Linked DNA regions of Saccharomyces cerevisiae S288C. Changing the gene in region 1 together with any one later gene gives a genetic interaction. Each region holds a gene or a part of one and is shown in the gene's direction. Other genes may lie near its edges. The genes, in order: NEO1, ALG14, PTM1 and BCK2.

Region 1 (9,486 bases):
CTGACAGGAAGAGGAAGAGTTAGAATTGTTACTGGCTCCTCCCCCAGGCGTCAATTCCATCTCCTCCCAGAAGGACGGTCTCTCTGCCCAAAGGAATGAACTTTCATGGGAAGGGACAAATGAAGCGGACTATTGTCGGAAGCGGGACCTCCGAAAGCAAATGAAAGTAAAAATTCAAAAATTCAAAAAAAAAAAAGCTGAAAGGAAAACACCCAAACAACACACGGTATGTGACGACATCTGTACACCGCAAAGTTGTGACGAAAACACAGTCACAGTTTTTTAGAATTTATGATTAGAGTGTTCAAGAAAATAAGTTCCAACACGTAATAGGTTTCTACCCCTGTCTTGTAACATTGATACAAGTAGAGGGAAACTCCCCTCACATTTTCTACAACGGCAAGAAACTGATTCTGAAACTCCGTAAATTCGTTTCTTTTCTTAGTTAAAATCTTATATACGCTAAAGAATGCTACTAAAATGTTTATAAATGTACACTCCTCGGTATCGCAAGTGGAAAAAAGGCAGTAAAGAAGTTTCAATCCTTCAATTCTTTTCAACAGCGATAACTTCCATTTCTAAATCAACATTCAAAGGTAAGGAAGCAACACCAACACAGGATCTTGCAGGCTTATGGGTGTGGAAGTGTTTGGCGTATACAGAGTTGAATTCGGCAAAGTTTTTCATGTCAGCCAAGAATACGTTGACTTTGACTATATTGTCTAAAGAAGAATTACTTTCTGCTAAGATATTCTTAACGTTTTGAAAAACTTGTTCGGCCTTCTCAGAGATAGAACCTTGAACAGGCTTGTTATCTGGAGTATAAGGGATTTGACCAGACACGTACACAAAATTGTTGGCCTTCATAGCTTGGGAGTAAGAGGCGGCAGCGGGTGGGGCCAACTTGGTGCTGACCGGGGTCAATGTTGTTATACCCCTCCTCAAGACTGGAGCTGTTCTCAAAACGGAATTTCTTAAAAACATTATTGGTAATATATTTGTGTGTATGTGTTGTCCTTTTTACCTGTAAATCTCACACAATTTACTAGCTAACCTAATTCTTATGCATGTGTAAGACCCATTTAGTCATATGTATTTATATATATCAGGGGATCCATACGGTGTGTTTTTCGCTGGATGAGCGACAGAGGCGGAATCGCATCTCCGCAAATGAGAGCGTACACAGGAGCAAAGTGAATAACGTCCTTCAATGATAGAGACTTATCCAATAAGCAGCACTGGTCTTCTAAGATCACCGCCTGTGCACTTTTCTACGGGCTCTTTTAATTGTATAACATGGACAGTGATCATTGCATTTTGCATCCATAGGCATACTATGGCTTAAGGTATTACTATCTATCGCGCCTAATCTCTGGGAGTTTTGAGGCCGGTTTCGGAATCTCGGTATCTTGCGATGGGTCCAAAACGGTGTAAACAAAGCAGGGGATAGCAGCGCAGGCTTCAACATCTCAAACCTTTATATATACAAAAAGTATATCTATATATTCATCTACGGTTCTTAAAATAGTACAACAAAAGTTAACAGACATTAATTACTGTAATCAGACTAAAGCAAACCGAGCTAGAACGAACGACTGCTTACACTAGAGAAAAATATGGAGCTAAGTTCACCATCAAAAAAAACCACAACATCGCCAATAAATATACCAGGGGGGAATAGAGATAACCTAATAATCGGACCACATTCTCACAGCTTCAAGACCGATCCATTTTCAAGTAACAATAGTAGTTTGCTGTCCAAAATATCTACTAACCCCAGTTTGGAAAGCCCTTTCTCTTCGAAATCTTTACTAGATTGTTCTCCTGTACAAGCTGTAAAGAAGTCTTTAGAGTCGGAAGCAAAAACGCATAGCCTGGACGAGGAGACAAATGAACAGACTGATGTAAAGATCTTAAACATAGCAGACTTTCCCACAGATGAACTCATACTAATGATAAGTGCGCTACTCAACAGAATTATAACAGCAAACGATGAAACTACAGATGTCTCACAACAAGTGTCGGATGAGACCGAAGACGAACTCTTAACTCCAATCCTTGCTTTCTATGGAAAGAATGTTCCAGAGATAGCTGTTGTTCAGTACTTAGAGAGAATTCAAAAGTACTGTCCCACCACAAATGATATTTTTCTTTCTCTCCTTGTATATTTCGATAGAATCTCCAAAAATTATGGGCATTCTTCTGAGCGTAATGGTTGCGCAAAGCAATTATTCGTCATGGACTCCGGGAACATTCATAGATTGCTCATAACAGGTGTCACAATTTGCACGAAGTTCTTGAGTGATTTTTTTTACAGTAACTCTCGATACGCCAAGGTTGGAGGTATTTCTTTGCAAGAGTTAAACCATTTAGAATTACAATTCCTGATACTATGTGATTTCAAGTTATTGGTTTCAGTCGAAGAAATGCAGAAATATGCAAACTTGTTATATAAATTCTGGAACGACCAGTAGAATGCTGTCCTGCATATTATTCATGCCCTTCCCTTACCGTTACTCGTATTATACATATCAATTTCTGATTTACGTAACGCGTACATATCGGTTATATTTAAATAATTTAATATTCCTTTTAAATCAGTGGTTTTTCATATTAGTAGCATTTCTCCTGAAATGATAGCTATTGCAATAGAATGAAAAAAAAAACTTTTTGCCCAAATAAATCATAATCTACCGGTAAAGAGAAATTCGGTCCTTGTTCTATTCAGTATTATGCTTTCTCTTTTTTTTCCAAAATGAGAATTAAGGACGTTTCGAAAAAGTAAAAATATACCAAATGTGGAATATAAATAGGTTTATCGGCGGACCGATCTGGCTTAAAACGTAGAATCTACCAGTCCAATGTACTTTGATGAAGAACAATTGCTAAAATATACTATATATGCCTATAGATTATCCTTTTTTGTAGGCATTTGCTCACTTTTCATAGCAAAAAGTTGTCTACCAGAATTTCTTCAATATGGTAAAACCTACCGGCCCAAAGAGAATTCAAAGTACTCAAGCATTTTAGAACGAATCAAGAAGTTCACAGTTCCAAAGGCGTATTTTTCCCATTTTTACTATTTGGCTACCTTTCTATCCTTAGTCACCTTATATTTCTATCCTAAATTCCCCATCGTTTGGATCATATTTGGACACTCATTGCGCCGACTTTATGAAACGCTTTATGTACTACATTATACAAGCAATTCTAGGATGAATTGGTCCCATTATCTAGTCGGTATATGGTTCTATTCCGTACTCTTGTTAATTCTTAATATATCACTGTACAAGAACTCCATTCCAAATACGTTAAACATGAATGCTTTCATCATATTCTGCATAGCATCTTGGGATCAGTACAAAAATCATGTTATTCTGGCCAATCTGGTTAAATATTCGCTGCCAACAGGAAGGCTTTTCAGGTTGGTATGCTGTCCTCATTATCTCGATGAAATAATCATTTATTCTACTCTGTTGCCCTATGAACAAGAATTTTACCTAACACTAGTTTGGGTAATCACAAGTTTGACTATATCCGCATTGGAAACAAAAAATTATTACAGGCACAAATTTAAAGACAATCACGTAGCCCCCTACGCCATAATACCTTTTATAATCTAGTAATGTGCACACTAGGGCATTCATATACATATATATATAGACGCGGTAAAGAACCACTTTACTTTCACTATTATCACTTTACCACTAATTAGACAGCAAAGGCTCGTATACGTGTCATTAAAAACGAAGGTAAGGCCATACCTTTTTGAGGCAGTTGGAAAGAGTAAATACTGGCACAGTGGCTAAGACCTATCACTGCCAAACAAAAGGTTAGACATCTTGGGAATTTCGGACACATTCGTTACTTAAAACGAGGACCAAAATTACTCAATACCTATTTTTTATTTAATATTTTAGGCATTGTTTCACCTGAATTTGCTGCTATTAGAAGCCTGATCTACGCAATAAAAGATTTCATCTGGATTTTTGAAGCTTATACAGTACTCAACAATCAGCTTATTAACAGCAATATACCGTTAAGCAATTGAGAAAAAGTAACAATCAGAGCACTTGTGTGGCATAACGTTAATCTGAAAAAGAAAGGGGTATCAGTGTGCACGGAAAACTTCAGAGACAAATGCCTAACCCTCCTTCATTTAAGTCACATAAGCAGAATTTATTCAACTCCAACAATAATCAACACGCAAACAGTGTAGATTCTTTTGACTTACATCTCGACGATTCATTTGACGCTGCTTTAGACAGTTTACAAATTAATAATAACCCAGAACCACTTAGTAAGCATAACACTGTTGGAGATAGGGAAAGTTTTGAAATGAGAACAGTAGATGATTTAGACAATTTTTCTAACCATTCTTCGGATTCGCATCGTAAGTCTTCAAACACAGATACCCATCCTTTGATGTATGATAATCGCCTCTCGCAGGATGATAATTTCAAATTTACTAATATTGCTTCGTCACCACCGTCGTCTTCAAACAATATTTTTTCAAAAGCCCTCTCATATTTAAAAGTATCTAACACAAAAAACTGGTCCAAGTTTGGTTCACCCATAGAACTCAGTGATCAACACATCGAAAGAGAAATACATCCAGACACGACTCCTGTGTACGATAGGAATAGATACGTTTCGAATGAACTATCTAATGCCAAATATAATGCCGTTACTTTTGTGCCAACCCTATTATATGAACAGTTCAAATTCTTTTACAATTTATACTTTTTAGTAGTTGCATTATCGCAGGCCGTTCCTGCACTAAGAATAGGGTATTTATCATCGTATATTGTACCTTTAGCATTTGTGCTGACAGTAACCATGGCAAAGGAAGCTATAGATGATATTCAGAGAAGGAGACGTGATAGAGAGTCAAACAATGAACTGTATCATGTAATAACGAGAAATCGTTCCATACCAAGCAAAGACTTAAAAGTTGGAGATCTCATAAAAGTCCATAAAGGTGATCGTATTCCCGCTGATTTGGTTCTTTTACAATCAAGTGAACCATCAGGCGAGTCATTTATCAAAACTGACCAACTAGATGGGGAGACTGACTGGAAACTACGTGTTGCCTGTCCCTTGACCCAAAATCTATCTGAAAATGACTTAATTAACAGAATTAGTATAACAGCCTCTGCTCCTGAGAAATCTATTCATAAATTTTTAGGTAAAGTTACCTATAAGGATTCCACTTCAAACCCTTTGTCTGTAGATAATACTCTATGGGCGAATACTGTTCTAGCTTCCAGTGGATTTTGTATTGCTTGTGTCGTCTACACTGGCAGAGATACTAGGCAAGCTATGAATACAACTACAGCTAAGGTTAAAACTGGCTTATTAGAGCTAGAAATTAACAGTATTTCCAAGATTCTTTGTGCATGTGTTTTTGCCCTGTCAATTCTTTTAGTTGCATTTGCCGGTTTCCACAATGACGACTGGTACATTGACATTTTGAGGTATCTGATATTGTTTTCTACCATCATCCCTGTCTCTTTAAGAGTTAATTTAGATTTAGCCAAAAGTGTTTATGCACATCAGATCGAACACGATAAAACCATTCCTGAAACAATTGTTAGAACGAGTACAATTCCAGAGGATTTAGGCCGTATTGAATACCTTCTAAGCGACAAAACAGGGACGCTTACTCAGAATGATATGCAATTGAAGAAAATACACTTGGGTACTGTATCATACACGTCGGAAACATTAGACATTGTATCCGACTATGTACAATCTCTGGTGAGCTCTAAAAATGACTCTTTGAACAATTCTAAAGTTGCCTTATCAACAACAAGAAAGGATATGTCTTTTCGTGTACGTGATATGATTTTAACTCTAGCAATTTGCCATAACGTTACTCCCACTTTTGAGGATGACGAACTTACATATCAAGCGGCATCACCTGATGAAATTGCTATTGTTAAATTTACCGAGTCGGTTGGCTTATCTCTTTTCAAAAGAGATCGCCATTCAATTTCTTTATTACACGAACATTCTGGTAAGACTTTAAATTACGAAATTTTACAAGTATTCCCATTTAATTCTGATTCTAAGCGTATGGGTATCATTGTTCGTGATGAGCAATTGGATGAATATTGGTTTATGCAAAAAGGGGCCGATACTGTCATGTCAAAAATTGTGGAAAGCAATGATTGGCTAGAGGAAGAAACAGGTAATATGGCTCGTGAAGGTCTACGTACTTTGGTTATCGGTCGTAAAAAATTAAACAAGAAAATTTACGAGCAATTTCAAAAAGAATACAACGATGCCTCTTTGTCAATGCTAAATCGTGATCAACAGATGAGTCAAGTTATCACCAAGTATTTAGAGCATGATCTTGAATTATTGGGTCTAACTGGTGTAGAAGATAAGTTACAGAAGGATGTGAAGTCCTCTATCGAGTTATTAAGAAACGCAGGTATCAAGATTTGGATGCTGACAGGTGATAAAGTTGAAACTGCTCGTTGTGTTTCCATAAGTGCAAAATTAATATCTCGTGGCCAATATGTTCATACGATAACAAAAGTCACAAGACCGGAAGGTGCATTCAATCAGCTGGAGTATCTAAAAATCAATAGAAATGCTTGTCTTTTAATAGATGGTGAATCCCTGGGAATGTTTTTGAAACATTACGAACAGGAATTTTTTGATGTCGTGGTTCATTTACCCACTGTTATTGCTTGCCGTTGTACACCTCAACAGAAGGCAGACGTTGCTTTGGTAATTCGTAAAATGACGGGCAAAAGGGTATGCTGTATTGGTGATGGAGGTAACGATGTTAGTATGATTCAATGTGCAGATGTTGGCGTAGGGATTGTGGGTAAAGAAGGTAAACAAGCTTCTTTAGCTGCTGATTTTTCTATAACGCAATTTTGTCACCTCACCGAATTACTATTATGGCATGGTAGGAACTCTTACAAAAGATCTGCTAAATTGGCTCAATTTGTCATGCATAGAGGTTTAATCATTGCAATTTGCCAAGCGGTATATTCCATCTGTTCGTTGTTCGAACCTATTGCTCTTTATCAAGGTTGGTTAATGGTCGGTTATGCTACCTGCTATACAATGGCTCCAGTCTTTTCATTAACTCTTGATCACGATATCGAAGAGTCATTGACTAAAATATACCCAGAATTGTACAAAGAATTGACTGAAGGTAAGAGCTTATCATATAAGACGTTCTTTGTTTGGGTTCTATTATCGCTATTCCAAGGTTCTGTAATTCAATTATTTTCTCAGGCCTTTACGAGTTTATTAGATACTGATTTCACAAGGATGGTTGCTATCAGCTTCACTGCTTTGGTTGTAAATGAATTAATAATGGTTGCCTTAGAAATCTACACATGGAATAAAACAATGCTCGTCACTGAAATTGCTACTTTACTATTTTACATTGTATCGGTTCCATTTCTTGGCGATTATTTTGATTTAGGTTATATGACTACCGTAAATTACTATGCTGGACTTTTAGTTATATTACTCATCTCGATCTTTCCTGTCTGGACGGCAAAGGCAATTTATAGAAGGCTACATCCTCCAAGTTATGCAAAAGTGCAAGAGTTTGCCACTCCATAATTCAATTGGTTTGGATTTTTCTTGTTGCTTCAACGGATTATCTTAAAAAAATCTATCATATTTCAAAATATAAATTCTTATTTTTACAAAGAAGATATAGATTATGCATAATATTATTTTGTTACATTTTTTTTCTTTTACTTTTTATTTTCTTTTCTTTGTACTTCCTCAAATAAGCATCTTTAGCAGGTTAACAATAGCAAATATCATGTCCAGCCCAAATCACATAATACTTTCCACTTCACTTTCACTATCTGTTTCGGGAGACCTATCATCCACGGTATTGACAGTTGGTCTTTGGAAATCAGTTGCATGTGCCCAAGGAATGGATCTCGAAATGTTCTCAAACACGGAGGACCTTCTTCTGAAAGTCCCACGGTAAGCGGGCATAGGTTCGGCAAAACTGTGAGGATTATTGTCATGTGAAGGCGTGATAGGTATGTCGTTAAGTGATGAAAAGGCTTTTGAACCCAAATCACTACTATCCATAGAATCATCACCGACCTGCGCAATTGGATAAGGCAGAGGAGCGTCACCGGTAACCCTGAATAGGTGAACATTGGCAACATGTTCATTTTCGACTCTGAAGATGATCCAAACGAATCTTCTTAAAACCTCCAAAAGGGCCAATATAAACGACGTCACAGCACTCTGCTGAATTGTTTGAGGAGCAATTGCGTATACAATCCACTCAAATCTAATGAGGATATCCCAAATCATAGCAAAGTAATAAACTAACTTCCTACTGAATGAATAACTGCCGTTTTCCCAATTTTTTTTACCAGCTAAATACAAGTCGTCTCTTAGCAACCAATTGTAAGAAGTAGTATTGTGAGCAAAGGACCAATCCATAACTAAATCCCAGGCGGAAGTAAGGATCGAATTCAACGTAGCGCACACGATAAAAGGGGTTCTCCTTTGTTCAGAACGGTCTGACAATCTGTAAGCACAAAGTGTGGCATTATACGCTATACCCAAAGTGTATTTCGCCGCGTTCAAAAGATGAGGGAACCAATCACCGGAATCAGCAAATCTTCGTAAACATTGCATGAATCTCCAATAACTTGGTAAACATGATAAAACACCCATTGCTCTGGAATGTGAAGAGCCACATAGATTGTTGGGCGTATGAGAGTAAACACAGAAGAACATGGCAATATCGGCAATAGAATACGTCAACGAACAAATAATATCTCCCAAAAAGAAATCACCAAACTCAACAGGGAAAAAACCAGACATCATCAGTCTAATAAGAGTAACCACCAGCCATTTTCTAGTGTGTACAACTTTGTCCCAATATGGAATTAGACCAGAGGGACATAAAAATAAGAAAGACACAATACCAATATATAAAAAGCCTAAGGGTGTGAGCTTCTCCAAAGCGAAACTTAACATGGAACAGACCGCACAAGGTACTATGAAGAATGTCAAGAAATACAACTTGAGCGGAATTTTACTCGTGGCAAAATCATTGTTGAAAAATTGCGTACCATTCTTGGATTGAATCTCACCCAGCATAATAAATCTATAATTAATCCCGGTTCTATGCCAGATAAAACAATTAACAAGAAAGAGAAACGCGATCAACAAAACCATGTACCAACCACCCCACAGTGGGAACAGAATCTTGTGCGTAAATGACGTTTCTTCAGAGCTAATGCCCAAATACAAAGTGTAAGTGATCAAAGTCATTGACACACCTATGCCCAGCCCGACAACCAGCATCTGCACAATCGATCTGTTGTTTCTATGAACCATTTGTTCGGAGATAGAGTACTGAATGGTCAATTTCTTCAACTTATGGGTATTGTGCTTCCTGTCCTTAGGCGAATTGGTCAACGCAGTGGTGAACCACTCGGTGATCTGCGTTTCCAACCAAGTGATGGGCTC
Region 2 (6,640 bases), on another chromosome or scaffold:
GTTTGAGTGTAGTTAGACACTACGACGACCTTCTCCTTGGTACCCTTCCTAATACCTTCTAGTAATGTCATTAATACCTTTAACTTACCAGAGTTCAAAGAACGACTATAGCTGTCCTGAGATTGGGTATCCTTTATATGTGATTTGTAATAGGGATCTGAGCCAACCAATCCAGGAGAGTTACAAACCTTTTTCAGTAATGTTATTAGTCCTAGCGAAGAACTGAACGTCAATTGTCCAAAATCTAAACGTGCGCCCTGCAAAATATCTTTGAATGCCAATATCTGTTGGCTGTATGGTTTACAGAATAAAATTATATCCGTCTTTGGAGGAAGGTACTTTTCTAAAATCGCATTTGTTCGTCTCAAAATAAATCTTTTCGTAATTTCTATCATCTCTTTTGACCTTTCTTCCCCCTTTTCCAACAATTCTTCGTTGTATCTGTTTGCAGTGTCTCTGGCTCTAGTTATAGGGATAATGAATCTTCTTTTGAAAGAAGCGAAGCTTCCAAGGATTCCTGGGTTTATGAAATCTATAATAGTGAAAAACTCATTAAGATCATTTTGTATAGGAGTTCCCGTAAGCAAAAGCTTCCTTCTTATGTCTAAACTCTTCAGCGTATTTAAAATTTTAGAAGCCCCGTTTTTTAGTCGATGGCCTTCGTCACACACCAGCATGTCAATCAAATGTTTATTTTTCTCTAATTCTTCAGAAACACTCAAGAGTTTTTCGTAGCCAATAATCAAGACTTGATAAGTTCGTTGCACTTTTAAAAAATTTCTGACAGCCATTTTATCCATATCAGGAGAATTCCTTGAGCTTAATGTCAAAACACCTATTCTTGACAAATTTAACCATTTTCCAAATTCTCTTTTCCAATTTCCTATTAAAGTAACGGGACAAACGACTAAAATCTTCTTACAAAGTCCAGTTAATGGTATGCCTGATTGCGAACATGAAACTTTTGATGCAAAAGGAGTTTGCCTAATTAATGTCCAAATCAAAGTTATACTCATTAGTGTTTTACCTAAACCCATATCATCAGCCAAAAGGCATCCACTAATATCTGAGTCATTTTCTAACACTAAACTTTTAGTAGTACAATCGATATCCGGATTTTCAATAGTTGGTCTTGCCAAGCCCATTAAGCAATCATACATGAACTTCACCCCTTCCCTCTGATGAGGGCGCAAGAATTTGCCCAGTAATGGATCAACAATTACGTCAACTTCAGCGGCTGCATTTTTGTTCATTACTATAGGATTATCGATTTTGTTGACATCAAATACTGGATAATATTTTTTGGCTTTGGAATTTTGACTGGTTTTAGGTACTGTGGTCATGTGTTCATTTGTTTGCTTTGTTACTGATTTGAATCTTTTCACAGTGTTTAGTGAAAACAGCTGAGACAGAGGCATTTGGTATTTGCCACCGTCATTCTTCGTAGAAGGCACTGTTTCTGTTGTGCTTGTGGTCGGTGGGCTGGGATTTCCCATGTTTTGTGATAAGGCTTCTTTGGCGCTACGTATTTCTGCATTTTCCTTCAATTCGTAATCCAATTGTACTTCATTGGAGCCTGCTTTGAAAAGAGTTTCGAAGAGAGAATCTGAATCACTTGGTAGCATACTTGACCCAAGAAATTTCCCTGCTTCGTTATAAAAGCATAACTTATCGCTACTGGCTTTTAAGGTAGCGTAGCCATCACCACTCCAAGTCTTGTGCTTTTTGGTAGTAGGCTTCCTGTACATGATAGTAAAATATCTAGTGTTTTCATTTGAGGACAGATTATTCGGCTTCTTGGCAAGATTTAAAGTAGGTCCCGCCGAAATGCTTCTTTTCAAGTTGACAGTAACTTTGGCTTTAGATATAGGGGCTGTTGTGACTGCAGTGGCGGTTGGTTTGAGTTGTGTGTACTTATTTGATCCAACCCTTCTTGGAGGCTTGAATGGCTTGTTCTCATATTTCGGTATCTGCATTTGAGTAGTACCGGAATCAAATACCGTTTGATATACCGAGCTGTTTTTTACCTCCTGTAGGATCTTCTCTCTTCGTCGAGGTTTAACGCTTATTACCGCCATTTCAATACAAAAACTCGATTCTAATCGGTTATTTATAGTAGGTTTTCTTTTTTTTTTTTAGCTCTTCGCGTTTTATTTTTTATTTTCTTGATGCATATATTAACGCGATCGAGTAAAAATGCCTTTCCCAGAAGTAGAAGTAGGCAAGACATCCATATTTCAAGCCACATCCATAGAGATACCTCCAACAGCGCGTTGTTGAAGATTTTGGTAATTACAAGAACGAGGTTAGATTCCTTCGTTAAAACTTAGTCAAAAATAACGGTCATATATCGAAGCCAAAGCAAGTTTTTATAACTATTTATTCATCAACTCATATATATCTAAACTAATTCTAAGAGGTAAAATCGCTCAGATGTGATGACCATATGTTTCAAGCCCATATGCAAGCAACAATGGTCCTCGCGAGAGGGACAACACTATAGAGCCAGGTCACTTTAGTTACCCCACGATTCTTGAGAAGAAACCTCAATCTTCTTGACGTGGTTCTTACCATCCTTCTGAGGCTTCAATTTTGGAACTGTTAATGTCAAAACACCATTTGCGTAGTCTGCTTTAATGTTGTCTGCATCCACACCTGGGTAGTCTGGCAAAGTGATGACTCTCTTGAACTTACCAGAGCTGCTCTCCTTGACCTTGACCTTGTCTTTACTCTCTTCATTCAAGGTAGATGGAATTTCACCAGAAACCAAAATTTGGTTCTTGTTTTGATGGTACTCAATATCAATGTCCTTCTTGCTTTTGACACCAGGAACCACGACTTTCAACTCGTAGTTGTTGTCATGGTCCAAAATATCAACTGGAACTGCGACACTTCTAGGGAAACCGAAACCAGATGGGAACAGGGACAAGTCATTGTCGAACCAATCATCTAAGGTTTCATCTCTGGGATCATAAAGAGCGCCAGCATAGTTATTTGGTCTAGCAACTTCCTTGCCAGTAGAATCCTTTGCGGGTGTGTTTGCTAACTGACGTCTTGGTGCGTAGCCTCTTAAGCCGCCTTCACCCAGCAATCTGTTAAAGGCATCAACTTCGTTGTTGATGTTGTCAAAGAAATCAAAAAATGGACTGTTAAATGACATGTTAATTTGTTTAGTTTGTTTGTTTGCTTTTTTGGATACCTGTTTTAATAGAGATCTGATATATCTTTATCGGTGGTTTTATTAGTATAAGAGAGTAGAATGAAAGGTGAATGGATTAAAAACAGATCTCTAACTAATGGAGGTCCTATTTATATGTTTAGGAATAAGGGTGAAAAAGAACCGTTGTTATGAAATACCACTCAAGAACGTGCATAGATCCGCAAGGACATCTAAAACTCGCATATTACTTAATTTTGTGTTGCGAGCACGCTAAGTGCGAATACCTTACTGTTACGAGCACCCTATATTTTTGGACGCATAAGGGGGAGGGAATAACCATCGATCTTTCTAGAAATCAAGCAATGCTTGAAAAAGCACTTTCGTTGGTTGTGGATGTTCATGTAAAGACGGTTACTATTCCGATCCAACAATGCACCTTGACAGGCAAGGTTCTTTAGGGGTACACACGGAGTTAGGGGTACACACGGAGTTGCTGCTGCCCCAGTAACATCCCAGTGATTACCAAATGAAGACACATAACCAGATTATTTTGTGCCACATTGCCAAGAAGGTAAGAGAATTGTGGCTTACTGTAAGCTACAGGTTCAACGGTGCATGCAAGATGGCCGCGTTATTTTTTTGGGGTCCCCCCCTGAGGCTTATGAGAGAGACCCATAGTCTTGTTTTCAAGGAGCCAAATTGCCAAATGAAAAGAAAAGAAAGTTAAAAATTCAATTAAATTAAACTAGGAGTAATGTTAGTGTATGTAGTAAGAAAATGATTGATGTGCGCAGAATATTGAAACGGAGACTGAAAACATTCTATTGACGGATTCCGAGCGAGAATCACGTAAAGAAGGTTCTAGAAAAAACATAAAAAAATGAAAAAACAAAGTGAGGTTGGAACTAGTAGAGCCGTTTAGGGACTCTTAATTAACGAATTGTCCAACATCAACAACAAAGTGTGTCCTATGGTAGGTTATATTAAAAAAAGTCCAACGATGTCCTTCTACTGGAACCCATATCCAGGTTGTCCAAATTTGATTCGTGCAATGTTTCGATAGACGCTGTCCTTGAGGAGGAGTCGTTTGAACAGAAGACAAAGAGAGCTTTAGAATCATCGATTGCTATTGTGTTGTTAATTTTGAAAGCGTCTGTTTTATCCATCTCTTCAATATCTTCGTACAACAAATCGTGAATGGAATAGTCATTATCTTGGGAAAATATGGAAGAGATCGAGCTCTTGGTGGAGGAAAGACTGGCGTCTGATTCGCTCCTCGTTGACTGCGTTGGTGATGGAGCCATCCGCAGCTTTTCTTCCTTTGCAGCGTTTGTTTGCATGTGCCTCATGGCCGAGTGGTAGTCTTTAAGCAGTGTTTCGTCCAGTAACAAGCTGCTCCTTTTTAACTTTGACTGACTAGATGTGCTTCTCTTATTCGTAGGAGACAGGAATTGAGAAGGAGCTGTGCCCTCCTCCTTTTTCTGCTTCGTCTTGGAGTGTCCATGGCCAAATTCGCTAGTCAGCGAGATTAGCGAACTTTTGGATCCTAAATGCATGGATTGTCTTTTCTTGGTGTCTGCGTTTGTGTTAGTGCTGGAATTTTTAGAGCGTCTTAGCATTTTACGTATTTTGTCTTTTTGTGCCGTCACAATATATAGTTGGTATGTTCTTTATCGTCGTATATTTCTCGTGCCGAGCTTGCGCCTTCTTTAACAATAAACCAAACGAATATTGAGGCTTCTTTATAACAGTTTGGCAAATAGTCAAGAATATAATGAGCAGCCAAGCGCGAAATTATGAATTCTATTAATATCCGCACTAGTGAATTCGAATACTTCCTTTACAGGTCATTTTCTCCTATTGCTCCAATTTACACTGCTGTGCTTTTTTTTTTAATTACGCGCATTAGGTAATTTTACCCCTACGCGAAAGTTAGTCGTAATTTCGTGTTTCTTTTTTTACGTGTTCTGTCTGTCCAGAAGCAAAAATGTTCTTAGCGAAGCCATCCTAATATTTCATGTACAAGGGCCCGCAATAACTGTAATCGGCGGTTTATTATTGTATCAGGAAAGTCGAAAGAAGTGACTTGAAGATCATGAAAACGGCCTACTTGGCGTCATTGGTGCTCATCGTATCGACAGCATATGTTATTAGGTTGATAGCGATTCTGCCTTTTTTCCACACTCAAGCAGGTACAGAAAAGGATACGAAAGATGGAGTTAACCTACTGAAAATACGAAAATCGTCAAAGAAACCGCTCAAGATTTTTGTATTCTTAGGATCGGGAGGTCATACTGGTGAAATGATCCGTCTTCTAGAAAATTACCAGGATCTTTTACTGGGTAAGTCGATTGTGTACTTGGGTTATTCTGATGAGGCTTCCAGGCAAAGATTCGCCCACTTTATAAAAAAATTTGGTCATTGCAAAGTAAAATACTATGAATTCATGAAAGCTAGGGAAGTTAAAGCGACTCTCCTACAAAGTGTAAAGACCATCATTGGAACGTTGGTACAATCTTTTGTGCACGTGGTTAGAATCAGATTTGCTATGTGTGGTTCCCCTCATCTGTTTTTATTGAATGGGCCTGGAACATGCTGTATAATATCCTTTTGGTTGAAAATTATGGAACTTCTTTTGCCCCTGTTGGGTTCCTCCCATATAGTTTATGTAGAATCGCTGGCAAGGATTAATACTCCTAGTCTGACCGGAAAAATATTATATTGGGTAGTGGATGAATTCATTGTCCAGTGGCAAGAATTGAGGGACAATTATTTACCAAGATCCAAGTGGTTCGGCATCCTTGTTTAAGTAAACCATTTATGTAGGATAGTAAAACTTCCAACTATTTTTGAAGTCTTATGGTGGCACCGCACCTTCTTTGATGCTTAAAATTTCCAGGATTGCTTCACAAAATATAAACAATCCGGCCAACGCATTAAAACTACCACTGCTAACCAGAAAGTAAATCAGTAAATCACTTACTTACAATTACTACGTATACAAAGCAAACAATCACATTTCATGTCTGCATAATTGCACAGTGTATGCATAATGCATTACGGCACCAAATTTGGTGTGTAAAGGATAATGCGACACCGGTCTTAGAGATTTTTGCACGAGGATTATTGCCGTACGGCTATTTGGTGTCGTCTCACTCTTCGCCGCGCCGGGACGGCCAAAAATACAAAAAAGGTCAGTCAGGGCCGGCAACCCGATGAGGAAAGGGCCCTTCCAGTAAACTTCACATTATCTTGACAAGGCATTTTTTTTCAAAAAAAGTGCATTTTGATGGACAAAAAGAAAAGAAAACCTCCAGGTTATATTCTTTAACTTGACAGTGTCTGAACATTTAAATTTTTCGAATGGGTTACCTCATCTCACCTGTTTTGGAAATTAATGTTGGAGTAAAAAAGTATATAAGATGCTGTTTTCGTATATATCCCTGTTTTGTGGCATCTATTTCATCTTTTCTCTGACCG
Region 3 (7,338 bases), on another chromosome or scaffold:
GTGCTTTACCCTTTTTCCATGATGACCGTTGAAACATGTACGGACTATCAAGTAATAGTGAGGGTAAAGACAGTATATACACACTTCCTTTTATTTTCGTCTCATCTTGTATTTTCATTTGAAGGACGGAATATTTACTTTTCATGGCTTGTATTTTTACTCGATTCCAACTTTTTTTCAAGCTTATCAAATTCCTTTAATGCTATTTCTTGCTCAGGATCCATGATCTGAATCACTTCTTTCACTTCATCCACATAGTGCTTCAACATGGACTCAATACCGTACTTCAAAGTCACTTCACTAGAAGAGCATGAGGTACATGCACCTTGTAATCTTAAATAAACGGTTCCAGTCTTTGGATCCCACCCACGGTAATCGATATCACCGCCGTCCTCCAAGATGGCTGGTCTTATTCTTGTATCTATCAGCTCTTCAATCAATTCGCTGACCTCTTCATCTTCTTCGGTAAGTTCAAATTTGGGCATATTTATTTTGTAGCCACCTTCTCCTTCTTCTTCTTGGACAGCATGGAATTCTTTGGATATAACATCTTCACCGTAAGCAAGTTGCTTGGTTAACAAATCTATAATTTCAGGCTTGATACTATTCCAATGGACCATTCTGTCTTTATTAATAGTGAGAAAATCATCACCTATCATTAAAGACTCCACTCCTGGACACTGCAAAAAAATTTGCTGTGCTAACTTGGAATGGTTGATGAGGTTTTCATCAGTGTTCTTAATAACTATACTCTTGGAGCCACGCGTCTGTAGCATCTCGCCATCTGTGGAGAGAAATTTTAAAGCATTTTCATTTGGAGTTGTTAAAGTCTTAATATGAATTAATCTCTGAGAATTTAAGTAAAAAATCGGAGACTTCCCCAATTTAGCCACTGATTTGAACATTGTTAGTCAATTTCTTGCTTTTTTGCTTAGATTACGCTGAGAATGCCTTATGTATTCTAATTAGTCCGCTAAATACGCTTCTTTTTATAATGATTAATAAGCAATATTGTAAGTAGATCACTGAAATTCGGAAAACTTAAATTATTTATCACTTGATACGTTAGAAGGCTATTTCTACAATCACCAGGACTCCGCTAAGTGGTCCTATAGATTTGATGAAATGCCTGCTTTGACGGTCTTGATGATACAAGCTAACGCTTAGCATGTTACTATACTCAATGTACATTGTTTTATCCTCAAGAGACCGCAGACGTTTCAATTTTGTGTTTAAAAGAACAATGGACAGTATATACGTAGTGCCAATTTTCTTCTATGGTGTATTATGCGCATTGAACATTGTAATATCCGTAATGTTGAACATAATTTGGGAATTGCTTCCGAATCTTCAACCTTCATGTATACCTCTTTTCGGCTAGAGTGTGGTACTTTAATTACTGCTTAGTTGTTTTGCCCGATTTAGATATTGCACCCGTGCACGTCACACATAAGCTTGGTCTTTTAAATAGTGTGTGAAAAAACGAACTTGAAGAAAAAGATAGAGCAAGATATATATAGGAGTAGGAATAGGGAGAGTGGAAAAAAAAACTTAGCCTCAAACTAATAGTCAAGAGGATCAACTATTCTGTTCAGGTTTTGCAGGTTAAAAATTGAAATAGAATATTTTCTCGGTAATTTCAAGAAACAGCTGGTAAAAAGGCAGTAAATTTACAGAAACTAAGAGTGTAAGGGCACAATGAGAGTATATCAGTTTTGCCGACCTTTCCAATTATTCACCTGCTTCTTATGCTACCTTCTAGTGTTCGTAAAAGCTAACAAGGAAAAGATAAGTCAAAAGAATTATCAAGTATGCGCAGGTATGTATTCCAAAGAAGATTGGAAGGGCAAAATAGACCCGTTTATATCATTCAATCTTAAAAAAATAAGTGGATTGAGTGATGAGTCTGATCCAGGCTTAGTCGTTGCAATCTATGATTTCCAAGACTTTGAGCACTTAGGTGTGCAATTGCCGGATGAAGAAATGTATTATATTTGTGATGATTATGCAATTGATATCGGGATTTGTGAAGAGGAGAATCGTGATGAGTTTATTGTTCAAGATGTTGTATATGATCCATATACTTCCACAAATAGATCTTTGGCCAATCCAATCATGACGTTTTCTCAAAATGAGGTCGGCCTTCATGATACTAGATACCCAATAAAAGAAACCGGATTTTATTGTGTTACTGCGTTCAGATCATCGACGTCTACCAAGTTCAACGCTGTGGTGAATTTCAGGAATGCTTATGGTCAGCTTGCGGGCACCGAGATCAACAAATTGCCACTATATGGTCTTTTGGCGGTCGCATACGTTGTGGCGATGGCGTTATATTCCTTCGCCTTCTGGAAGCACAAGCATGAATTGTTACCATTACAAAAGTATTTGCTGGCCTTTTTTGTATTTTTAACCGCAGAAACCATATTTGTATGGGCTTACTATGATTTGAAAAATGAAAAAGGTGATACTGCGGGAATAAAAGTTTATATGGTGTTCTTGTCGATATTGACGGCTGGTAAAGTTACATTTTCATTTTTCCTATTATTGATTATCGCTTTGGGCTACGGTATCGTGTACCCTAAGTTGAATAAAACGTTGATGAGGCGTTGCCAAATGTATGGTGCGTTAACTTATGCAATTTGCATTGGATTTTTGATCCAAAGTTATTTGACCGACATGGAGGCACCATCTCCACTAATCTTGATCACCTTGATTCCTATGGCGCTTGCATTAATCATATTTTACTACATGATTATTAGATCCATGACAAAAACAGTTATCTATTTGAAAGAGCAAAGGCAGATCGTAAAATTGAACATGTACAAGAAGCTACTATACATCATTTATGCGTCCTTTTTGAGTGTACTAGCTGGTAGTATAGTTTCGTCATTTATTTACGTTGGCATGAACACTATTGATATGATTGAGAAGAACTGGAGGTCAAGGTTCTTCGTTACTGATTTCTGGCCTACGTTAGTGTATTTCATTGTTTTCGTTACCATCGCGTTCTTATGGAGACCAACAGATACTTCATACATGCTAGCCGCATCCCAACAACTACCCACAGACCCAGAAAATGTCGCGGACTTTGACTTGGGCGATTTGCAATCGTTTGACGATCAAGATGACGCAAGTATCATCACTGGTGAGCGTGGCATAGACGAGGATGACCTCAATTTGAATTTTACTGATGATGAAGAAGGACACGATAATGTAAATAACCATAGCCAAGGCCACGGGCCAGTGTCTCCCTCTCCAACAAAATAACGCTACCTCCAGCAGATTTGATTAGGTGATGAGACAAATAGTTTCTTCGAGGGCAGTCACGAAATGTTTACAAGCGAAAAGAAAGAAATTATGAACCATATGCACTTCTGTTCAATGCGATGTGAATATGAATATGAATATAAATATGAATATAAATAAATAAATAAATAAATGCGTTGCACGTTTCTTTTCATTTATTTGTGCGTGCTTTTACCTGTTTATAACTGTAGTCACCAAAGCTATGCTATACTCTAGACCTAACTTTTTCGTTTTGTATTTATTTAGCCGCTCGCTGGAGTTTTTTTTTTTTCGGTGATAAGATGATTTATATCAAACCGAAACAAGCGAAAAGTTTCTGTTCATCGACTATAAAATGGAAGAGAAAATTGGTCCATAGACTTTTCATGTGTACTTGTTTATGAGAAGAGACGCAGGAAGACCAGAAGTGAGGAATTCCCTTTGTTCAAGGATGAACAACGAAGCCAGATAACGTAAGGTTGCGCGCTGCATCAGTGCTAACCTTATTAGCTTTCTCTGGCTTTTTCGGTCTTTCCTATGTAACATAACATGTATATTCTATTTGTTTATGATGAGACCACGTCCTTAGTGACAATGCTATAAACCCAGCTCTTCGATTCGTTTTTAATGAAAGGGAGAAGATTTTTTTGTCAAACGCTCTGAGTAATAGAATATACATGCGACAACATTTGTAGTTACTTGTCTTACGCTTCCTAGGGAACGGATCATCCGAGTAGAATATCATTTTACGGGATCACTTTATTCGGTGTGATTGCTCGTTAAGCCGCACGACCATTTTATGGGCACGCTTCCGCAAGTTGGTTCTTTCATCAGAAGCTTTACCACGATTGGCAAGTCATGTAGCATGTGCGCTAACATCGTTTATCGTTTTCTGTGACGTGGCTTATGAGCACCAGAGACGAATAATCAACAGTACATCAAACAAAAGCTACGTCACCTCACCAATAATCCGAGCTTCTTGAAATGGCAGGTATTGGATTCATAAAATATGTCGCTGCTTTGTGCATTTTCCTTTAGTTTTTTCCTTTTTTTTCATGTAGCTAACTAAGCAAGACGATTATGGGAAGGGACCTTTTAAGGAAAAACAGGAAAAAAAAATAGTAGCAACTAGTAAAAATTCAAAAAATAAAAAAAGTCAAAATAAGAACACATCAGTTAGGAACCGTGCTTGGAGTTTTGAGACTGGAGTATTGTCCATCCAACATATTCTGCTCTTTCACCATAGACTTCGTTGGAAATCGCCTCTCCCTTGTACTATATTGTGCAGAACCGTTCCCGCAATTTTCATTGGTGCAATAATAACACGCTTCTTCGATTCTCACATTTGTCAAGAAGCTGTACTCTTCTCTCAAACTCCAATATATTTCAAATTATGAACGAGCTGAACACTGTTTCGACTAACTCCAGTGACTCCACCAAGAACGGTGGTACATCCAATAGTCCCGACGATATGGACTCCGCAGCAGCAGCAAGTCACGCAATAAAGAAAAGAACAAAGGCCTCCCGGGCCTGCGATCAGTGTCGTAAAAAGAAGATTAAATGTGACTACAAAGATGAAAAGGGGGTCTGCTCAAACTGCCAAAGGAATGGAGACCGTTGTAGTTTTGATAGGGTTCCTTTGAAAAGGGGACCCTCGAAAGGCTATACGAGGAGCACCAGCCATCCAAGGACTAACGAAATACAAGACCACAATAACTCAAGGTCGTATAATACGTTTGATAATAGTAACAATACCCTGAATAATAATACGGGCAATAGCGGCGACAACGGTATAAACAGTAACACAGTTCCAAGTACCCCTTCGAGATCTAATTCAGTTTTATTGCCCCCACTGACACAGTACATTCCCCAGGCTGGTGGCATTCCTCCTAGTTTCCAAAATCCAGCGATACAATCAACTATGCCCGCGGGTAATATTGGCCAACAGCAGTTTTGGAAAGTGCCCTACCATGAGTTTCAACACCAAAGAAAAGGATCTATCGATTCTTTGCAAAGTGATATATCGGTAAGAACATTAAATCCCAACGAGCAGTTGTCTTATAACACCGTTCAACAGTCTCCCATAACGAATAAACATACTAATGATTCTGGAAATGCAAACGGAAGTGTCACCGGCTCAGGCAGTGCCTCTGGTAGTGGTGGTTATTGGTCCTTTATAAGAACTTCTGGTTTACTAGCTCCTACTGATGATCATAATGGGGAACAGACAAGAAGATCAAGTTCCATACCTTCTTTGCTACGAAATACTTCAAATTCTCTTTTACTAGGTGGCCAGCCTCAGCTTCCCCCACCTCAGCAACAATCGCAGCCACAAGCACACCAACAAAAGTTGCAACAAGGACAGAACCTATACTCGTATTCTCAATTTTCCCAGCAGCAACCGTACAACCCATCGATATCATCTTTTGGCCAGTTCGCTGCTAATGGTTTTCATTCTAGACAAGGATCAGTCGCCAGCGAGGCTATGTCTCCCAGTGCACCTGCCATGTTTACTAGCACATCTACAAACCCCGTAAATGTTGCACAGCAAACACAAAGACCTCAAGGACAGCAGGTACCGCAATTTTCATCTGAGTTGGATGGAAATAAAAGGCGACAATCAGCCCCCGTATCAGTAACATTATCCACGGACAGGCTGAATGGTAATGAGAATAATAATGGTGAAATTAACAACAATAATGGCAGCAATAATAGCGGTTCTTCTAAGGATACATCTCAACATTCCCAAGAATCTGTAACTACACCAGCGGCTTTGGAAGCATCCAGCCCTGGATCAACGCCACAGAGAAGTACAAAAAAACGCAGAAAAAGTTACGTATCTAAGAAGACAAAACCAAAGAGAGATTCATCTATATCTATAACATCGAAAGATTCTGCTCACCCAATGACCACTTCATCAACTATCGCGTATGGACAGATATCCGATGTAGATCTAATAGACACCTACTATGAGTTCATACATGTAGGATTTCCGATCATACCTTTAAACAAAACGACCTTGACCAGTGACTTATTGTTAGTTAACACACAGCCAATTTCCAATATACACGAAGTCAATTCATATGTTATTTTGTGGTTTAGAAATTCATTGGAATTGTTAGTTCGTGTTGCTCTGAAACAAAAGCCAGGTGGCAAGTTTTTCGATAATATTGTTGGCGTGGCTTTGTCGCCAAGTAATGACAACAACAAAGCTGGGTTCACTACAGCCACGGCAAGGGATGATGCTGAAAAAACAAGACGTGATTCACATAATGAAGTACAGGATACTTTGGAAGTGCAAAGCGTTTTTATTGCCGCCCTCAATGAATGTTTCCAAAAAATCGTGGATATTCATCCCAAATTCAGAGAAAACAACGACCAAATTTCGCCGAAGATCAAAGTCATTTATTTATCTACTTTTATTCTTTTAAATTACATTTTGGCATTTGTTGGATACGATAACTCATTTGTACTTGGAATGTCGGTGACAATTTTTAACGAATTTAAATTATACAAACTTCTATTATTTCCGGAGCCGGATATAAATGATGTGAAGCCTCCAGTTGATGAAGAGGTCAGCACTGGTAATGGGAATACAAAAACGTCCGAATTTGAAATTGGATCTGAAAGTGCTGGGCATATGAATCCATCCAATTCACCAAATTCCATGGACGAAAACATTAGTCACTATTCAGTGTTGTTTAAAAGATTATACGTTTTGCTTTCAGTGTTTGATTCTTTACAAAGCTGTGCATTCGGTGGTCCCAAGCTATTAAACATTTCCATCCAAGGTTCTACAGAAAGATTTTTTTCTAATGATTTGGGCTCAAAATGGTGCCTGGAACAAAGCCAATTGAGACTGAAAAGCGTCTTGCAAAGCTTGAAATTGGGTGAATTGATGAGTGAGCTTACCAGGAATAGAATATCAATGAACGGCAATAGGAAGCCTGGGTTCGATATTACGAACTCGTCTTCACTCTTATCGGAATATGTGGAAACTCAACCTCTATCCGTAGCACAGTTATTTTGCAAGCTATTAATTGGCAAACA
Region 4 (8,310 bases), on another chromosome or scaffold:
CGCACACTAACTACGATGGTATGAAAAGATTCCGGATGGGTACAAAAAGGAATAAAAAAGGAAACCCAATAATGGGAAGATCTAAGACCTTGAAATGGGCTAGGAAGAACATTCCAAACCCATTTGAAGACTTTACGAAGGATGATATTGACCCTGGTGCCATAAATCGTGCGCAAGAACTAAGGACTGTGTATTACAATATGCCCTTACCAAAAGATATGATAGATGAAGAAGGCAACCCCATTATGCAGTATCCTCGTAATAAAATCAGAACTACCAAATATACCCCGTTAACATTCTTACCAAAAAACATTCTATTTCAGTTTCATAATTTCGCCAACGTTTATTTCTTAGTTTTAATAATTTTAGGTGCATTTCAAATTTTTGGTGTCACGAACCCTGGTTTAAGTGCGGTTCCGTTAGTTGTCATTGTTATAATCACTGCGATCAAGGATGCTATTGAAGACTCAAGAAGAACCGTCCTAGATTTAGAGGTGAATAATACCAAGACACATATTTTAGAAGGTGTTGAGAACGAAAATGTCTCAACCGATAATATTTCATTGTGGAGAAGGTTTAAGAAAGCAAACTCTAGACTCCTTTTCAAGTTTATACAATATTGTAAAGAACATTTAACTGAAGAGGGCAAAAAGAAGAGAATGCAGAGAAAGCGTCATGAACTAAGAGTACAAAAAACTGTTGGAACGAGTGGACCCAGATCCTCTCTAGACTCCATTGACAGTTACAGAGTATCTGCAGATTATGGCCGTCCTTCATTGGATTATGATAATTTGGAACAAGGGGCCGGTGAAGCCAATATAGTTGATAGATCCCTACCACCCAGAACTGATTGTAAATTTGCCAAGAATTATTGGAAAGGTGTCAAGGTTGGTGATATTGTTCGTATCCATAACAATGATGAAATCCCTGCTGACATTATCTTACTTTCAACGTCGGATACAGATGGTGCCTGCTACGTAGAAACTAAAAATTTGGATGGTGAAACAAACTTAAAGGTACGCCAATCCTTGAAGTGTACCAATACTATAAGAACGTCAAAAGATATTGCTAGAACAAAATTCTGGATCGAAAGTGAAGGGCCCCACTCAAATTTGTACACTTATCAAGGTAATATGAAATGGAGAAATCTTGCAGATGGCGAGATACGAAATGAGCCAATTACTATTAATAACGTTCTGCTTCGTGGTTGCACTCTTAGAAATACTAAGTGGGCAATGGGTGTTGTAATGTTTACCGGTGGTGACACAAAAATCATGTTAAACTCTGGCATTACACCCACCAAGAAGTCCAGGATTTCAAGAGAACTAAACTTCTCTGTGGTGATAAATTTCGTGCTACTTTTCATCTTATGTTTTGTTTCTGGTATTGCAAATGGTGTATATTACGACAAAAAAGGCAGATCACGGTTTTCCTATGAATTTGGAACAATTGCTGGGTCAGCGGCGACAAACGGTTTCGTCTCATTTTGGGTTGCTGTTATTCTTTACCAATCTTTAGTCCCAATCTCTTTGTACATTTCTGTGGAGATCATCAAAACTGCACAAGCGGCCTTCATTTACGGAGACGTTTTACTCTACAATGCCAAATTGGATTATCCTTGTACACCAAAATCCTGGAATATTTCTGACGATTTAGGTCAAGTGGAATATATATTTTCTGATAAAACAGGTACATTAACTCAAAATGTAATGGAGTTTAAAAAATGTACTATCAATGGTGTTTCATATGGAAGAGCTTACACCGAAGCGTTAGCGGGATTAAGAAAAAGACAAGGTATCGACGTCGAAACCGAAGGTAGGCGTGAGAAGGCCGAAATTGCCAAGGATAGGGATACAATGATCGATGAACTGAGAGCTTTATCAGGAAATTCACAATTTTATCCCGAAGAAGTTACCTTTGTATCAAAGGAGTTCGTTCGCGATTTGAAAGGGGCTAGTGGTGAAGTACAACAAAGATGCTGTGAGCACTTTATGTTAGCATTAGCTTTATGTCACTCCGTCCTTGTAGAAGCAAACCCGGACAATCCAAAAAAACTGGATTTAAAAGCTCAATCTCCAGACGAAGCAGCGTTAGTAGCCACAGCTAGAGATGTAGGATTCAGTTTTGTTGGAAAAACCAAAAAAGGGTTGATAATTGAAATGCAAGGTATTCAAAAAGAATTTGAGATTCTAAATATTTTGGAGTTTAATTCATCGAGAAAAAGAATGTCCTGTATTGTCAAAATTCCGGGTCTGAACCCAGGGGACGAGCCTAGAGCACTTTTAATTTGTAAAGGTGCAGATTCCATTATATACTCAAGATTAAGTCGCCAGAGTGGTAGCAATAGTGAAGCTATTTTGGAAAAAACTGCTTTGCATTTAGAGCAGTACGCTACTGAAGGTTTAAGAACGTTATGCATAGCTCAAAGGGAGTTAAGTTGGTCTGAATACGAAAAATGGAACGAAAAGTACGATATTGCTGCTGCATCATTAGCAAACAGAGAGGATGAATTAGAAGTTGTTGCAGATTCCATTGAACGCGAATTGATATTATTGGGCGGTACAGCTATCGAAGATCGTTTACAAGATGGTGTTCCGGATTGTATAGAGTTGCTTGCAGAGGCAGGAATTAAATTATGGGTTCTTACGGGTGATAAAGTTGAAACAGCTATAAACATTGGATTTTCTTGCAACCTTTTGAATAATGAAATGGAATTGTTAGTTATTAAAACAACTGGTGATGACGTGAAAGAATTCGGATCAGAACCAAGTGAAATTGTGGATGCTTTACTCTCCAAATACTTGAAGGAGTATTTCAACTTAACCGGTTCAGAAGAAGAGATTTTTGAAGCTAAAAAGGATCACGAATTTCCGAAGGGTAATTACGCCATCGTTATCGATGGTGATGCTTTGAAATTGGCGCTATATGGTGAAGATATAAGAAGAAAGTTTCTTTTACTCTGCAAGAATTGTAGAGCTGTCTTATGCTGTAGAGTATCTCCATCTCAAAAAGCAGCCGTTGTTAAGTTAGTCAAGGATTCTCTAGATGTCATGACACTAGCCATCGGCGATGGTTCCAACGACGTCGCCATGATTCAATCTGCGGATGTTGGTATTGGTATTGCCGGTGAAGAAGGTCGACAAGCTGTTATGTGCTCAGACTACGCCATTGGACAATTCAGATATTTGGCTAGATTGGTCCTCGTTCACGGTAGGTGGTCTTATAAGAGACTGGCAGAAATGATTCCTGAGTTTTTTTACAAAAACATGATTTTTGCTTTGGCATTGTTCTGGTATGGTATCTATAATGATTTTGATGGGTCTTACCTGTATGAATACACATACATGATGTTCTATAATTTGGCATTTACATCCCTACCAGTCATCTTCTTAGGTATTCTGGACCAGGACGTGAATGACACAATATCATTAGTGGTCCCTCAGTTATACCGTGTTGGAATTTTAAGGAAAGAATGGAACCAAAGAAAGTTCTTATGGTATATGTTGGACGGATTATATCAGTCTATTATCTGTTTTTTTTTCCCTTACTTGGTTTATCACAAAAATATGATAGTTACGAGCAATGGGTTAGGATTGGATCATCGTTATTTTGTCGGTGTTTATGTGACCACTATTGCTGTAATTTCGTGTAACACATATGTTTTATTACACCAATATAGATGGGATTGGTTTAGTGGATTATTCATTGCACTGTCTTGCCTCGTAGTTTTTGCATGGACGGGAATATGGTCTTCTGCGATAGCTAGTAGAGAATTTTTCAAAGCTGCAGCGCGTATCTATGGAGCACCTTCATTTTGGGCTGTTTTCTTTGTTGCCGTGCTGTTCTGCTTACTGCCCCGTTTCACATATGACAGTTTTCAAAAATTTTTCTACCCAACTGATGTGGAAATAGTAAGAGAGATGTGGCAACATGGCCATTTCGATCATTATCCTCCTGGTTACGATCCAACAGATCCCAACAGACCCAAGGTCACAAAAGCTGGGCAACACGGAGAGAAGATTATAGAAGGCATAGCACTTTCCGACAACTTAGGAGGATCGAACTATTCAAGGGATAGTGTTGTCACAGAGGAGATTCCAATGACTTTCATGCACGGTGAAGATGGAAGTCCTAGCGGATATCAGAAGCAAGAAACCTGGATGACTTCACCCAAGGAAACACAAGATCTTCTTCAATCGCCCCAATTTCAGCAGGCCCAAACGTTCGGAAGAGGCCCATCAACCAACGTCAGGTCATCCTTGGACCGCACAAGAGAACAGATGATCGCCACTAACCAACTAGATAACCGCTACTCTGTGGAAAGAGCGAGAACATCTCTAGATCTACCAGGCGTAACTAACGCAGCCTCCTTAATCGGAACACAACAGAACAATTAATAATGATATCCGAACCATAGCTGATGGAACTCCGCTTTTCACTGTATATATAATATTACATAATATTACTGGATAAGCCTTAGAAGCCTTAGAAGCCTTAGAAGCCTTGGAATTCATGCATACTACAGCGTTAACTCTTTCTTTTAGCAAGTTTTAGTAGCGGACGTGTGGGTTTCTTTGTTCTATAATTAACACTCCCGGTTAACCCGGATCGCTATTATTCAAGGACGCACAATGGTGGGCTAATTTTTTCTTCCGATGGAAAACTGACGCCAGCACTTTCCAGCGCTGGGAACTCTCCACTAACTGGCAAAAAAATTGATTAAGGTCATGATCAAAGGAATTTTTGAAATGTTGTAAAGTAGAGTTAAGAATTAATCAAGCCGTGATACGTATGTTTTTGACTAGGTGAGAGACTATATTTATCAAAAATAGTTTTTTATACTAACAGAAAGTTTATTATATCATAGAAATCCTAGGCCTATTGTTATTATTTGCGTGAAAAAAGGTTCATGCCTAGTTATTCAGGATATTAATCAGGCATAGTCATAGTTTTGTAATACACGTCTTTCACTCCTATTTCCGGTTAACATTCGCTAATATCCATCAAATTATTGACTTTTTTTTCAGTGGATTTGTTGTTAATAAAGGAAACAATCAGATCAGCCATTTAGGGAAGTCTTTTAAGAAAGCTCAGAAGGAGATCTAAGACAAGAAGCAAGGCAGTCTTGATTTATCGCTCAAAACCAATAGCACATGCCGAAGAATAGTCACCACCATCGTTCCAGTTCGGTTAATTCCACAAAGAGTCGTTCTACGGAATCTACGAATAAATGGAAAATTCCGCACTATTATCGCAGATCCGCTAGCGGCAGCACACAAGCTTCGCCGGACAGGAACTCCTCAACAGGCTCATGTAGCACTCCAGTATTACCTACTATGAATGTTATGTCTAGCCCGAAAAAAGTTTTGCTAGAGGATCCCAGAGACAACCATACTAAGGCGAAGAAGAGTAGTAGAAAGAAATCAGGTGAAATGGTCTTCGTCAATTATACTGTACAGGACACGGCTAACGAAAATGATACTGACTTGCAAACCCAGCCGGTTTCTGTGCCAGCACCAAAGGCGAAATTAAAGAAGAAATCCTCCAAAAGGAGAATGCTGAAGATATTTGGATCGTCAAAGAACGAACACATAGAGGACATCGTTGAAGAGCAACCAATGGTGCTTCAAATGGATTCAGAATCTAAACCCCTTTCGGGAACCCCTATCTCAGAAAGCGGAATCGACGCCTCGTCACTAACAACCAAAAGATCTTATAACTCGTTCTTAAAACACAATAGGCTAAACGGTAAAACTCCGTTCTCTGGAAACTTGTCCTTTCCATCATTAAACATGATGGGTAACACTACTGATCTGCCTATTGACAATAACGATTTTTGTTCCGAGAAAGAAGTCGTTCCGAAATCAACTCATGATCCTTCACTAGCAAAACCGCCATCAAGGTTCACTGAAAGCGAAACAAATTCTACTCCCAACTTATCAAGTATACCTCTCATGAACACAAAAAATACAAGATTGAAGTACAATAAAGTGGCGCCTCAGAGTTCAGACCGACAAAAGTCACAGGAAAGTGGGCTATATCATTCTACCGAATCATTCAACTTCAAAGATCAAAACTACAGTAACAATAAATCCTCTTTAAGTCTGAACTCCGATTTAAGTACACCCCACTTTGCAAAGCATTCACCTGATTCACCAAGAACTTCAAGATCTTTCAACTGCGGAGACTCACAAAGTAAAGTTAAATTACCGGAAGAAAATGACGCTTCTATTGCATTTAGTAAGATGTTTACTAGAAAACGAGCCAACACTGGCGGGTCCACGTGTTCGCTAGCCTCACCCACTATTGCACAAACTATTCAGCAATCAAATATAAAAGTTAATAAATTGCCAACTCAGCGAACCACTTCAGTTGGCTCATTATCATCCATGTCAAATCGTTATTCACCAATAAGAGTTGCATCGCCAGGAAGAGCAAGATCCGCAACTCGTGGGTCTTCCCTTTATAGATTATCCAGAGACCTTAATTCTTTACCAAGCGTCACTGATCTACCAGAAATGGATAGTACAACCCCAGTTAACGAAATATTCTTGGATGGCCAACCACAGCATAAAAGTGGCAGTGTCAAAGGAGGGCATAGGAAGAAACAAGAATCTATCTCTGATGCTCAAAGAATTCAACATTCTAATTCGTACATTACAACACCTTCATCTTCTCTGGTGACTCCTCCTTACTACATGACAGGTTACACATTACCAAGTTCTGCATCTGCTTCTTCAACTCCAAATGTGCTTGAAACACACAATATGAACTTTGTTCCAAGTACCAGTACTGTTACAAGTTATCGCCCATCTAGCAATTTTTCCTCATTTGACAAAGAATACAGTAACGAAAACGACGCTAGTGGGGAATTCTCTGCTTTCAATACTCCAATGGAGAATATACCGGCACTAAAAGGTATACCTAGATCCACGTTAGAAGAAAATGAAGAAGAGGATGTCCTAGTACAAGATATTCCGAATACGGCACACTTCCAAAGAAGGGATATTATGGGGATGGATACTCACAGAAAGGATGACAGTTTAGATTTTAACTCTTTGATGCCACACGGTAGTACAACTAGTAGCAGCATCGTAGATTCTGTTATGACGAACTCAATATCCACTACAACAAGCAACGCGACCGGAAACTACTTTCAAGATCAAGATAAGTATACATTGGTAAATACGGGATTGGGATTGAGTGATGCAAACCTCGATCATTTTATTAGATCTCAATGGAAACACGCTTCTCGATCAGAATCCAATAATAATACCGGAAATCGCGTTTCTTACAGTGGCTCAACACCAAACAATGTTGATACAACAAAGACTAATTTGCAAGTGTATACCGAGTTCGATTTTGAAAACCCAGAGTCGTTTTTCCATGAGCAATCGAAGCTACTAGGTGAGATGGGCCACAGCAATAACAACAGCAACAGCGCCATCAACATGAATGAACCCAAGTCTGCGGATACATACATTGGAAATATATCTCCGGATACTTCAGCAACTGTTTCATTAGGCGACCTGATGGGCTCAAACGTTTCAAACAACAGTGAAAGAAATTTTTACGATGGTCATACTTTCGTTCCACAGTATCAGGCGAACTCATCTGTGGAAAACTCAAATAATCAAAATGCAGCACCAATTGCAAATAACGACATTGATAATAATTTACAGTCTTTTTATTTTGATAATAGCAACTAAAAAAGGAATGAAAAAAAAAAAAAAAAGTTCAAAAATAGTAACAGATATCTTTCGAAAAAGTTAAAAACTGGTAAAAAATTTTGAATAGAGTATATAAAAACTAATAAATATGTTTAGTTATCATACACCATAGAATAACTACTAGAGATATTATTTCATTTTCGTTTTCATTTTTTTTATTTTTTTCTTTTCAATAAGGTAACAGAAAGTTATTTATGCATTCTTGTTCTACATGTCTTATGTATACTAATAAGCTACTACAGGTATTTTGGTAGTATGGCTTTTAAATGAGTTATTAATTCTTGATCAGTCCCTGTAGGATTATCAAACTGCCACCTAATCGCTTCGTTATTAATTTTACCCAGCCATGGACCTGGCTTCATTTGAAGTAGTTTTGCCATTTGTTTTCCGTCCACTATTGGTTTTAGTTCATGACAATTATTCAAATTATTGTCAAATATGTAAGAATAAAATTCATTGTAATTTTGGAAAAGTAATTCAATTTTTTTAGTTTCAAGCTTGGGAATCTTTAAAAATGCATCTGATAGAGATGCAAAATGTGCTGTTTCCCATTCGCCATTAAAGTTCCGTAGAAATATAC

The links.
Region 2: mutations in NEO1 (region 1) and ALG14 together harm fitness more than expected from each alone (negative genetic interaction), as found in Saccharomyces cerevisiae (2 studies listed by BioGRID).
Region 3: mutations in NEO1 (region 1) and PTM1 together harm fitness more than expected from each alone (negative genetic interaction), as found in Saccharomyces cerevisiae (2 studies listed by BioGRID).
Region 4: mutations in NEO1 (region 1) and BCK2 together harm fitness more than expected from each alone (negative genetic interaction), as found in Saccharomyces cerevisiae (2 studies listed by BioGRID).

What each region holds. Positions count from the first base shown.
Region 1 is NC_001141.2:257,297-266,782, forward strand, and holds NEO1 (aminophospholipid-translocating P4-type ATPase NEO1), read left to right. Parts: upstream 1-4,140; coding exon 4,141-7,596; downstream 7,597-9,486. Other genes in the region: isoleucine biosynthesis protein MMF1, read right to left, coding at 547-984; PCL7 (Pcl7p), read left to right, coding at 1,617-2,474; DFG10 (putative polyprenol reductase), read left to right, coding at 2,862-3,623; SYG1 (Syg1p), read right to left, coding at 7,819-9,486. UniProt on the Saccharomyces cerevisiae protein: Flippase that catalyzes the hydrolysis of ATP coupled to the transport of lysophosphatidylserine, phosphatidylethanolamine, and phosphatidylserine from the lumenal to the cytosolic leaflet of the Golgi apparatus membrane and ensures the maintenance of asymmetric distribution of phospholipids.
Region 2 is NC_001134.8:378,550-385,189, reverse strand, and holds ALG14 (N-acetylglucosaminyldiphosphodolichol N-acetylglucosaminyltransferase anchoring subunit ALG14), read left to right. Parts: upstream 1-5,255; coding exon 5,256-5,969; downstream 5,970-6,640. Other genes in the region: DNA-dependent ATPase RDH54, read right to left, coding at 1-2,078; YBR072C-A (uncharacterized protein), read left to right, coding at 2,169-2,330; chaperone protein HSP26, read right to left, coding at 2,516-3,160; YBR071W (uncharacterized protein), read right to left, coding at 4,144-4,779. UniProt on the Saccharomyces cerevisiae protein: Involved in protein N-glycosylation. Essential for the second step of the dolichol-linked oligosaccharide pathway. Anchors the catalytic subunit ALG13 to the ER.
Region 3 is NC_001143.9:360,924-368,261, forward strand, and holds PTM1 (Ptm1p), read left to right. Parts: upstream 1-1,698; coding exon 1,699-3,270; downstream 3,271-7,338. Other genes in the region: NFU1 (Nfu1p), read right to left, coding at 135-905; RGT1 (Rgt1p), read left to right, coding at 4,682-7,338.
Region 4 is NC_001137.3:513,063-521,372, forward strand, and holds BCK2 (Bck2p), read left to right. Parts: upstream 1-5,153; coding exon 5,154-7,709; downstream 7,710-8,310. Other genes in the region: aminophospholipid-translocating P4-type ATPase DNF1, read left to right, coding at 1-4,397; CCA1 (tRNA adenylyltransferase), read right to left, coding at 7,967-8,310. UniProt on the Saccharomyces cerevisiae protein: Dosage dependent suppressor of PKC1 deletion and MPK1 deletion. Involved in cell lysis.